Macaca fascicularis: one gene and its partners. The protein of the gene in region 3 interacts with the protein of the main gene of each other region in a pairwise test. Links are inferred from orthologs where the notes say so. Each region holds a gene or a part of one and is shown on either strand. Other genes may lie near its edges. The genes, in order: FAM114A1, GARIN6 and RAB2B.

Region 1 (3,722 bases), on a different chromosome or scaffold from region 3:
TTGCTGTTAACTTACCATTCAACACTCTGATATTTTTAACTTTGGCGTGTAAGATTTAAGGTGGGAAGTAGGTTTAGTCTAAGCCCCAAAACAACTTTTACTTAAGCAAACAGCTTAAACTATAATGATAAAATTGGAGTGAGTCTGCCCTTTCGTTCTAAATTCAGGGAATAACAGGTAGGGGAGGAGGTTTCTGATTAATTGAACCATGATTTTGTAGGGCACAGAGTGCGTAAACTGCACTCGTGTGAAATTAGACACAGAGCAGCACCAGACCTTTCCAGCAGCCCTTCTCTTCTCCCCCTTGAGGGTGGAAGACCTGTCATGAATCAAGAAACGCAGAGCCTTTCTAACATATATTTTTAAAAGTACTATTATTCTTTTATAGATGGTCATGAAAAGTGAAAAATATACTATAGATTTTTCAATGTGACTGTCATTTTTATTCTTATCTGAATATCATTTTTAAATGCTTTTTAAAGAGTCCTCAGGCCTGCATTGTTCTTTCCATACTTTCTGTTCTGTCCCTTTTTTCTACTTTATATTTGCCAGAAAGCAACAACAAGGTTATCTTTTTAGGGGGTTGAGAAATTGCCCCGTCATCCTCCAAACATACGGAGATCCATTCCTGAAGGCTTAGAGACACTTGATTCTTGTCTTGGGGTTGGAATGACTTAGGTTCCATATTTGCACCATAAAAGGGTTGTTTGGTTGGGGACCTTTGCAGGCCATGAAGAAGGCTCATGACTGGGTGGAAGAGGATCAGACCGTGGTGTCAGTAGATGTGGCAAAAGAGTCCGAGGAGGAAACAAAGAAGAAAGAAAAGGAAGAGAAACCTCAAGACCCTCAAGAAGACAAAAAGGAGGAAAAGAGAACTAAGACCATAGAGGTAAATTTATTCTAGAGTGTCCACCTACAAGGTAATAAGAGTGTGTTCATTTTATTAGCAGCTTAATTTTAATTGAAGAGAGGCCATTTGTTTTTCATTTGTTCCATATTGTAGAAATATAAGTAGGAATGCAATAAACACTGAAATTTCTCTATGCCAAGATAATTCATGGTTTAACACAGATTTTGTCACTTTTCTCCATAGCTTTACAATTATAATTTAAAGGGACAAAAATCTTTAGGAACATAGTTGATTTATCTTTAGAGTAGAATTTCATCTTATATGCAAATGTGTTACTATAAAATGTCTTTATGCCCTGTAACTAATGAGGTAATTGAAGCCTTTAAAAAAATTCATTGCCATAGCTTTTATTCTGTAATTTAATAAATTTATGTGTGCATAATTTATTTCCTGCCTATGTTCAATAAAGGAGTTTGTAGTAACTTCATCTTACATTGAGTTTTAATTTTGAAGAAAGTAACTTTTTGGCTGAGTGCGGTCACTCGAGCCTGTAATCCCAGCACTTTGGGAGGCCAAGGCAGGTGGATCACCTGAGGTCAGGAGTTCAAGACCAGCCTGGACAACATGGTGAAACCCCGTCTGTACTAAATATACAAAATACTAAAAATAATTAGCAGGACATGGTGGTGTGTGCCTCTACTCTCAGCTACTTGGGAGAGTGAGTTATCAGAATCACTTAAACCCGGGAGGTAGAGGTTGCAGTGATTAGATCACTGTAAAGAAAAATATCCATTGAGCTCTGTTCATTCAGCCAGCCTTCCACACACCGTCTTTAGCACCTGCCTGTTTTGTACCCAGCATTGCTGTAAGCCCTGGGGATGCAGCTGTGAACAGACTTGCCACATCCCTGGGGGCCCTGACGGCACCTCCATTTTCTGGCAGCATTACACTTAAAGTCTTAGATATGCTCGTAGTCTTCAGGTTAACAATTTCATGTTATGTTTGTGGTATTTTTGAAAGAATTATATCACTTCTAATGTCACAGCATTTTTTAAAAAAAAACATCTGCTCAGTAAAAAATTTCTTCCTTGTGTTTATCTATTTCAGGAAGTATACATGTTGTCCATTGAAAGTCTGGCAGAGGTAACAGCGCGCTGTATTGAGCAGCTTCATAAAGTAGCAGAATTAATTCTTCATGGACAAGAAGAGGAAAAACCAGCTCAGGACCAAGCAAAAGTTCTAATAAAGTAAATAAATGTTACTTTAAATTATTATTTTCCCAGTTCTATATATAGGTACCGTTCAGAAACACACATACACACCCACACCCTCTAAGCCACTAAAAGGTTCAGATTTCTTTTTGTTTGCTTTTGTTTTTTGTTTTGTTGAGATGGGATCTTGCTCTATCACCCAGGCTGGAGTGCAATGGCATGATCATGATTCACTGCAGCCCCAAACTCTTGGGCTCACGCCACCCTCCCGCCTCAGCCTTCCCAGGAATTGGGACCACAGGTGCACACCACCACATCCAGCTAATTTTTTAATTAATTACAGAGACAAAGCCTAGCCGTGTTGCCCAGGCTGGTCTCGAACTCCTGAGCTCAAGCAATCTTCCTGGCTCAGCCTCCTAAAGTTCTATGATTACAGGCATGAGCAACCATACCTGACCAAATATTCAAATTTCAAGTGAACCAATTCCATTGTTCTATGGTCATCTTAAGAAATAAGGATTTCTTTTTTTTTTTTTTTTTTTTTTTTTTTTTGAGACAGAGTCTTGCTCTGTCACCAGGTTGGAGTGCAGTGCCACAATCTCAACTCTCTGCAACCTCAGCATCCCAGGTTCAAGCGATCTTCTGCCTCAGCCTCCTGAGTAGCTGGGATTCCAGGCGCACACCACCACACCCAGCTCATTTTTGTATTTTTAGTAGAGATGGGTTTTCACCATGTTGGCCAGGATGGTCTCCATCTCTTGACCTCATGATCTGCCCGCCTCAGCTTCCCAAAGTGCTGGGATTACAGGCATGAGCCACCATGCCCAGCCGGAAATAAGGATTTATTTAACAAATGCATTATGTTAGCAAGAAGAAGAAGACTTAACTAGCCATCCTAGGAATTATTTATGAAGAGATTTAAGGGAAAACACACTAAATCATTCAGAGGCATGAAAGTGCTTATTTAATAGATCAGAGTCTTAGAAGTAAAACCTTTTGAGGGTAATTACTTTTCCAACATATATATGAATAGAGAAAGGACACTTTAATGTAACTTCTAGCTAGAGTCACAAAATAGGCAAATATACTCCACTGATCCTGGGGACTTATACCAGCTCTCCATGTTCCGAACTCTGGTGATGATGGTCGCTAATATTAACCAGTTCACTTTTGGGTGGTATGTGTGCACATATGTGTTGTCCTGTATCATGTTCTTCAATAAATAATAGCTATTGTCATTAGTTTATTAAGTAAAATGCAAATATATATATATACGTAACACATGTGAATATGCAATCTAGTGAATATACATGAAAATAGTTGATATGGAGTATTCATGAAAATAGTTGGTATGGAGCTGAAAAATAAGCCTTTACCTTTTATGCACATGACTGTATACTGTGATATGGAAAATTAACGTAGGCCTAAGTACCCTCATGTTATTAGACAGACACAGGAGCCAAAATAGAGCCCCTGAAAATACTCAGGGATGGACACACACAGGTCTCAGCACACTCAGTTTGCTAGCTAACTAGTCTTTGCTTATTACCGCTTTGGTATTGTAGGTTGGGGAGTAAGTTTATAGTGGAAAGATCTTCCAAAAAGTCAGCATGAGTGTCTTTGTACTGGCGGCATTTTTCCTCACTTGTAAAGATCTGTCA
Region 2 (4,442 bases), on a different chromosome or scaffold from region 3:
TTTGGGAGGCCGAGACGGGCGAATCACGAGTTCAGGAGATCGAGACCATCCTGGCTAACACGGTGAAACCCCGTCTCTACTAAAATACAAAAAAAATTAGCCGGGCGAGGTGGCGGGCGCCTGTACTCCCAGCTACTCGGGAGGCTGAGGCAGGAGAATGGCGTGAACCCGGGAGGCGGGGCTTGCAGTGAGCTGAGATCCGGCCACTGCACTCCAGCCTGGGCAACAGAGCCAGACTCCGTCTCAAAAAAAAAAAAAAAAAAAAAAAAAGACCAGCCTGGGCAATATGGTAAAACCCAATATGGTAAAACCCTGTCTCTACTAAAAATACAAATTAGCCTGGCATGGTGGCATGTGCCTGTAGTCCCAGTTACTCAGAAGGTTGAGGCAGGAGAATCACTTGAACCCAGGAGGCAGAGATTGCAGTGAGCCAAGATCTCGCCACTAACTCTAGTCTGGGTGGCAGAGTAAGACTCCATCTCAAAAAAAAAAAAAGACTCAACTATGGCTATGGCTGTGTGTGTGTATATGTGTGTGTGTGTGTGTGTGTGTGTGTGTATGTTCATATGGGTTATTATGTGGATTGTTTTCAATAAAGATATTATAATCTTATTAAATTGATAATATTTATAATACCTGGCAAAATTCTTTAGAGCTTTTTTTTTCAATACAATCTGATGGTAAAGAATAGAGCATAAATGTGATGTTTAAGGCTCTTTTCACTCCATAGCCAGGGTACAAATGTCTAGGTAAAAGCTTAAAAATTGCATCAACAGTTTGAGGGTGAGTCAAAACATAAAATTTATCATGGCTGTAGAAACAGAAAAAAAAAATTGCTAATAAAATAGCTTTTTACCTGGTAACAGAAATAAACTTCCCAATAAAAATAGAAATTATAAAGAAAATGAAAGTTACACCTAAGAACTTTAAACATTTCACTGAACATAATTCCATACCCACAAACACATACACATGGTCTTACATAAATTGAATCTCACCTATACTATGAGTTTGAAATCAGTTTTTCTCTTTTTCTTTAAGAAAAAAAAAAAGGTTAGGGATATCTTTTCATGTCAATAAATAGGAAAACCACATAATCATTTTTAGGGCTGTAGACTGTCCCATCACAGAAGGCTCCATAATTTATTTAAGCAATCCCCTATTGTAAGACACTAATGCTGTTTACAATTTTTTACTCTACAATAAACATTGATAAACATCCTGTACTAACGTGTTTACCAATGTATTCAATTCTCTCTTTAAAATAAATGTCTACGACTAGAGGAGCTGGATAAAAGAGTTGACAGAGAATGTATATTAAAGTCTTGCTTCTCACAGAAAATTTACCTCTAATCTTTTTGAAAGCAAATTGCCAGAATGCATTAAGGTCCCCAGATGGGTGGAGGGTCGGGGAGAGTGGTCTGCTGAGCTGTGGAGAGTGGTGGGGCTGAGGGTGGGGTGGAGAGGGTGGTGTCCCTGCCCTGAGGTAGGGGCTGTTGGGTGACAGAAACAAAGGGGTGTGTGATGGGGCAGGTCACAATGGGTAGAGGAGGATAAAAGTGGTCCTGCAGGGTGGTTTAGCAGCAGCGGATGGTTCAGGTTGGGAAGAAGAGCAGTGGGACTGCCAGTTCAGGTTGTGGAATCAAAGAGCAAAGGTTGTTGTGAAGTGGAATATCAGGCTCAAATGGAAGTCCCTCCCAAATGAGCACTGACATCTGTGTGCCTGGATATCCACGAGGGCTCCAACATCTGCGCTCCTGACAGCTCCATGCACTAAACAGGGCACAGTCTGGATCCAGGGGACCAACTGTCTCTGGCATTGAGCAGTTGGCAATCAATACCCCACCCTGTTCTGAGTCATTTGGGGACAAAAAAGAAAGCCTGTAGAACACAACTGCTGGCCCACCTGCCAGAGTGGCCAAGGAAACAGGATGCTCACTAAGGCATGTTAAGGAAGGTGTGGAGCAGCTGCTGGGAACTGTCTTGATAAAAGAAAGACATGGAGGAGCAGTGTATGTTACCGTATTACACTGCCCAAAGCAGCCCCGCAATGGGCATGTTTAATACCTCCATGGGGAAGCTTCAGCGGCAACTGTACAAAGGCGAGTATACTATATTCAGGTATGCACCCATGTTTGAGAGCGACTTTATCCAGATCAGCAAAAGAGGAGAAGTGATGGATGTGCACAACCGTGCCCGAATGGTAACAGTGGGCATTGTTCGCACCAGCCCCTGCCTCACACTACCTGATGTCATGCTGCTGGCCCGACCAGCTGCTGTCTGTGACAACGCCAGGTGTGGTCCTGCCACCCAGAAAACAGATAGTCCGCCTGCAGAGATCTTAGAACTAACCAGACTGCTTCCCTTGATGTTTGTGAAAATAACCATCCACAACAGCATAAAAAAACAGCTCCACCTGAAGCTTGCCACTGGCCGCTCTTTTTATCTTCAGCTGTGTCCCCCCTCAGATGCAAGTGAAGACCTTTTTGTTCACTGGGAAAACCTTGTTTACATCCTGAGACCACCAGTGGAGGCTTACAGTGGTACCAAAGCTATCCTAGCTGGGAGCACATCAGACTCATCTGTGTTTGAGGAAGTGCAGAGAAGCCCAGTGGTGAGTCTATGCAGAGACTAGATGGGGCCAGGATGCTTTTGGGGAGAGCAGGTAAAGGTCCTGTAGAGCCTTTGGTGTTGCAGCTCACCTGGGAAATGCATTGCATTTGGAAGGTCTGAAGGCCAAATGAGCTTCCATTTGGAGGCCATGGCACATTGAGGAGGTTCCTAGTGCTTCTCCAGTGTTCCCCAAACCTGAATTTCAGAGATTTCTTAGCTGTCAGCAACTTTTCATTTTATATTCACAGCTGTTCATTCTATATCCAATGTTGTAATGCTATCCAAAACATCCTGACCAGTCTATTCTGAAACCCATACTATGACCTAGGTAGGCTGATATGTTGTAGGACATGTCTCCCTGCGATTGCCACTTATATACATTGGTGGCAACACAACATGCTTGTGTACATGTGCAATACTTTATTTTTGTTGTTTACCTATAGGAAGAGAAAGGAGATCTTGCTGGTCTCACTTTCTTTGCTTATTTGTTTTCTCCCTAGGGATATGCCATGAAGTTCTGTGAAGAGAAGGAGCAATTCAGAATCAGCAGACTTCACATGAATGCTGAAATGTTTGGGTCCACCTATTATGATTATACAATAGAGATATGAATCCAACATACCTCCCACATATACTACATTCAAGAGTTCACACATTCCTGCAGTCATAAAACCTATAGTGCCTGATAAAGGGGCAGGTTAGCAACAACAGTAGTGATGACAGTAAGCACCACCGCAGGTGCCATGGATGTGGCTGCAACCAAGTCTGCAGGCTCAGAAGAGAAACACAGCACTGGCAAAAGCAGCCTTCAAAGGTCCAGGAGGAAGTATAGCCAGCATGGCTATCGTGGGTGCTTCTATGTCTTAATCTTGTTATAGCAAGGGCTGCATAGACATTCTTGTCCTAAAAGAGTACTTCAAGTACATCAGTAAGTGCTACTGGCCTCTCCCTAGAGAGCAGCATGAATGTGGTGACTACAGGAGCAGAGAGAGACTGTCAATGCAACAGCCTTGTCAGTCTCTCTCTGCTCCTCAAAGACTGACTCTCTGCCACTCAGCATTGGGAGTCAGTATCTCAACTCTGCAGGATGAGGCCACATGAGTGAATGGGATGGAAGTCAGAGGGTCTCTACCTAGCTGGATTGACTCTGCAGTAATAACCTCAAAGTCTGGTACTACACATGGTGCAGAGGTGGACATCTCACCTAAGACTGTGGAGGGGAGGAACATGATTCACCATAATAAAATCCATCAACTCATATTATCTGCTCTAATAACATATGCTCTATTGACAGGAAGGGTAGCAATAAAACTAATAGCAATTTATGATCAGGCTCTGAAAACTATCTTTAACTTTCCCTTAACTTTACATTTTTTATTATAAAAGATAAATAGATGACATAAAATTAATAGATGACAGAATAAAATGTTGAAGATTACTCTCAAAGATATGATCCTACATCAGAAGAATTCTTCTAAAACTATTTTCCAAAATATAAAATGAGAACCCAGAAACACACACACACTCTGTCTCCCTCTCTCTTTCTCTCTCTTGCTCCCGGTTTGAATCATAGCATTGCCACACATTAACTGTGACCTTTAGTAGACTGTTTCTTTAAATGGTCACCTTGAGATTATACATGTATAATATCTGGTACATAGTAGGCACTGTGTAAATGGTGGTGTTGAGAAACAAATTCTGAGTTTAATCATACTTTCCAGAAAGGGCTTAATTTTCCCAGTCTTTTCACTCTTGATTTCCTTTCTTAAATCTTAATTAACTGCTTTGCAATTGTCCCATAAAAGCTCTATTTACAGTAAATCTTCTTA
Region 3 (4,059 bases):
TTGAGACCAGCCTGGCCAATATGGTGAAACTATATCTCCACTAAAGATACAAAATTAGCCGGGCATGGTGGCACACGCCTGTAATCCCAGCTACTCGGGAGGCTGAGGCAGGAGAATCGCTTGAACCCGGGAGGCGGAGGTTGCAGTGAGCCGACATCGCACCACTGCACTCCAGCCTGGGCGACAAAGCGAGACTCTGTCTCAAAACAAAACAAAACCAGTAGGAAATATAAATGAAACAAATTTAAAAAGACCCCTTCAACAGAGTTCGTTACAGGAATGAACACATGCTGTTCCACGGTCAACCCTCTGCTAGGTAAGCTCCTCCCCTCACCCCAGTTTCTTCAGCTGCTGAAAAATTTTCTTCCCACTGCGATCCTTTAAGATTACTGTAGTTATTTCTCCCCAGAGAAAGGAGACAATTTCACTGTCTTCTAATCCAGAATCACTTTTCTCTTTAAATAGGTTATCTCTTTCCAATAGCTTGCTTTTCTGATGACAGCAACTTCCCAAGACTTCCCCAGATAGTCCCCATAGGCTCCAGAAGCAGCTGCCACTTTTCTCTAAACACCAATTGCAGCCCTTGGTTCCCAGCCCCCGTCCCTGGAGTGCGTGCTCTCCTCCCCACCACCCTACCCCACCGCGGCCTCAGGCCCTCCCCCCGCGGCGTCGGCAGCTCGTGCTCACCTCGGCCCCTGACAGGAAGGGGTGCGAAGGCCCTGTGATAGTCAGGTAATTGTCATTTCCTCCGGGAAACTGGAAACCAAAAGAAAGCCGCGGGGATAAGTTAGGGGGAGCAGGGAATTAGCTTGGAGCGATGGCTTCTGACCCCGACATTCTGACAACACTCCCCAAACCCCGCTCTCTCTCCTCTCCCGTCAGTCGCCTTTCCACCCGGCTTCCCGTCTCTGCTTCAACCCGGTCGGCCGCGTTCTCTCGCCAGCCTTCTTAGCTATCAGGTTCCTACCTCCATCTTCACACAACCGCTCCCACCGTCTCAGACCCTCATCGCTCCCACCGCCCCCACTGGTCTCGGAACTGCCGTCACTTCCGCAAGGACGTGCGTTACTCTCTGCTCATTGGAAGGAGCGCCGTGGGGGCTGCAGCGAGTCAGGCGCTGGCCTATCGCCCCCTGGAGCTTGGAGGGATAATGGCATGTAGAAGTACTAGAGGTGTCCCTGGAGGTGGCGTTGGGTACTCCCGACCTAAGGAGGATTTCTGGGGAGAGCAATAGAGACGTGATCTGGGCTAGAGGAGCCGGAGAGGGTGGGCGGCCGGGAAGAAGAAGATCGGTAGATTGAGTGGCTAGAGAGGTTGGAGGTAAGTGGCTGTAGAAGTCGGGCGGACCCGGAACCCAGAGGACGCGACATCATGACTTATGCTTATCTCTTCAAGTATATCATCATCGGAGACACAGGTAACCCTCAGGTTGTTCGCCTTCAAGGCTGGGGCGGACGTCCGAAGCTCCCAAATTGGGTGGCGGGGGCGGGGCTCACTTTGTGGGCTGGGCGATTCGAGACGGGCGGGGCGGTTCGGGGCGGCCAGGGGCGGGGCTCGGGGACCCCCCGCTTCTCTGGTCCGGGAAGTCCAGAGTCCGGGTAGTGTTCCAGCGCTACGTGACTCTGGGAGCGTGTTTTCTCTTTCAGGTGTGGGGAAGTCATGTCTCCTCCTGCAGTTTACAGATAAGCGGTTCCAGCCTGTCCACGACCTCACAATAGGTAAGTGCATCTACTTGTTCCAGAACAGATAAAACCTGACTAGCTAAATTGCTAAAGTGGAAAGTTAGCAGCCTTCAGTGTTCAAAGTAAAAAGTTATCCCTCACTACTTTAAACTAGTCCAAAGTTATGTTAATGAAGTGGTTAATCAAACGTTGATATGTGGCGAGTAGTGTAAGGGAGAGTATATAATTGAAAGGTAACTTTTTAGAGTGTGAGGTAGAGACTTGTCATATAATTTTTTTCAAGTACAATTTTTTATGTTTATGGAAAATCCCACGAAAGCATAACTGCTTATTTGTAAACTCATCTGTGCTTTGCAGTAAATTAATACCAGCCTTACTTTTAAAAAGTAAACACCAATACATGGACATTTTTTATATTGGTGAAGAAGCAAATTGAAGAGTCATCCCTGCCTTAGAATTAATAGGCAAATAAAACTAAAAACTTTCCTTTTAAATAAAACAGTGTGTTAAACAGTTCCTCATACCCACTGGGGATCCTGGAAAATATTAACATTTCCCACACATTTGTGATAAGGCATAGCCTGAAGGGGCTTTTAGCTACCCCCTCTTCATTATCTCCATAACCCCAGTCCAAATAAACAACATATATGAAACTAGCTTTGTTGCCATGCAAATGCAGTTTCTAAATAAAACTCCTACATCCCCATTCTTACAATATTGCTACTTCCAAGTCACACCTGTGTGGAAATCTGAAGCTACCACTGTTCTAACGGATTTATTTAGAGTCAAATAATTGATGGGGTTAGAAAAGGATTTAGAAGGCAGTATCAACCAAAAGGTATTTTAAAGGGAATATTGAGTGAATTCTTACTTTGTGATAGGGGCTAATGATACAATGCTTAACAAGGCAAGAATGCTTAATTGTTCCTCTGGCAATTATTGGAGATATAAAATGTATTGTTAAAAAAAAATTAGGTGGGCGTTGTGGCGTGCGCCTGTAAGGTACATACTGGGGAGGCTGAGGCAGGAGAATCACTTGAACTCGGGAGGTGGAGGCAGTAGTGAGCCGAGAACGCACCACTGCACTCCAGACTGGGTGACAAAGCAAGAGACTCCATCTCAAAAAAAAAAAAAAAAAAAGTATTGTTTCTGAGAACCTATTTCTTAGGCTCTTTTCTTAAAGAAAAAAATCTGGAATTACAAAAAAATAAATATTGTTTTAAATAGAGACTAGAGAGTGACCGAGAAAGTGTCAGGAAGCATTTCCAGAATTTTTAGGAGTTTTTTGGAAAAGTTACAAAACTAAATGTTACCTAATCAAATTTAAGCATTAACTGACATTGCTAAAAAATTACCCTTTTAAATTTGACTTCTTAATTGGTTTTGTTTTCCCATATGTGCTTTTTGGTTACATTCCTGAGGTCATTAGAGCACAATTTTTTAATTCCAGAAGGGAAATGAAGAACCTTGAGAAACACAAAGTTAATTGGAGCAAATAGGCAGCAATAATGGAATTAGTGGCATTGAGTTCAGACTAAAGGATGGGTATAACACATTGAGGAAAGGCAGGAACCTCCTCCCACTCCACATGGCTGCTGTTCATGAGAATCACATTCTTTCTCTTGGTCTTTACCAACAGGTGTGGAGTTTGGAGCTCGTATGGTCAACATTGATGGAAAACAAATCAAACTGCAAATCTGGGATACGGTGAGAGTACAAAATAATTTAGTCTCTGACCAACATCCAAGTATAGTAAGAAAAGCCAATGCAAAGGAAAGGGGCAATGAGGGTGGGACTAATAGTGGGGATAAAATAGGGGAAAGGTGAAATCAAAGAGATAGAGAAGCTTTTTTTTTTTTTTTTTTTTTTGAGACGGAGTCATGCTCTGTCGCCCAGGCTGGAGTGCAGTGGCCGGATCTCAGCTCACTGCAAGCTCCGCCTCCCGGGTTCACGCCATTCTCCTGCCTCAGCCTCCCAAGTAGCTGGGACTACAGGCGCCAGCCACTTCGCCCGGCTAGTTTTTTGTATTTTTTAGTAGAGACGGGGTTTCACCGTGTTAGCCAGGATGGTCTCGATCTCCTGACCTCGTGATCCGCCCGTCTCGGCCTCCCAAAGTGCTGGGATTACAGGCTTGAGCCACCGCGCCCGGCCGAGATAGAGAAGCTTTTAATTCTATCTGTTACAGTTACAAATTCTGGATGCTATATCTTTGTGTTGTAAACTGTCCAAGTAATATATTAGTTTAGTAAAAATAAAATCAAACTATAAATTTATAGCATGGAAAATAAATGTCTCCTTTTTATACATAAACGCTTTCTCCTTCCCCGTCTTGGTTGCTACTCTAGCAAGGGAATCATTACTGATGATTCCATGTGTA

Evidence for each region.
Region 1: the proteins of RAB2B (region 3) and FAM114A1 interact in binary tests that used the Homo sapiens proteins (3 or more experiments, as listed by UniProt). The two-hybrid records come from large-scale screens. The link is inferred for Macaca fascicularis from reciprocal best matches to the Homo sapiens genes RAB2B and FAM114A1.
Region 2: the proteins of RAB2B (region 3) and GARIN6 interact in binary tests that used the Homo sapiens proteins (3 or more experiments, as listed by UniProt). The two-hybrid records come from large-scale screens. The link is inferred for Macaca fascicularis from reciprocal best matches to the Homo sapiens genes RAB2B and GARIN6.

Annotation. Positions count from the first base shown.
Region 1 is NC_088379.1:38,224,635-38,228,356, forward strand, and holds part of FAM114A1 (protein NOXP20), read left to right. Parts: intron 1-727; coding exon 728-889; intron 890-1,957; coding exon 1,958-2,097; intron 2,098-3,722. UniProt on the Homo sapiens protein: May play a role in neuronal cell development.
Region 2 is NC_088385.1:106,655,144-106,659,585, forward strand, and holds GARIN6 (Golgi-associated RAB2 interactor protein 6), read left to right. Parts: upstream 1-1,582; 5' UTR 1,583-1,999; coding exon 2,000-2,614; intron 2,615-3,113; coding exon 3,114-3,224; 3' UTR 3,225-3,873; downstream 3,874-4,442.
Region 3 is NC_088381.1:89,150,356-89,154,414, reverse strand, and holds the start of RAB2B (ras-related protein Rab-2B), read left to right. Parts: upstream 1-1,259; 5' UTR 1,260-1,371; coding exon 1,372-1,417; intron 1,418-1,646; coding exon 1,647-1,718; intron 1,719-3,321; coding exon 3,322-3,389; intron 3,390-4,059. Other genes in the region: TOX4 (TOX high mobility group box family member 4), read right to left, coding at 688-756, 968-973. UniProt on the Homo sapiens protein: The small GTPases Rab are key regulators of intracellular membrane trafficking, from the formation of transport vesicles to their fusion with membranes. Rabs cycle between active GTP-bound and inactive GDP-bound states.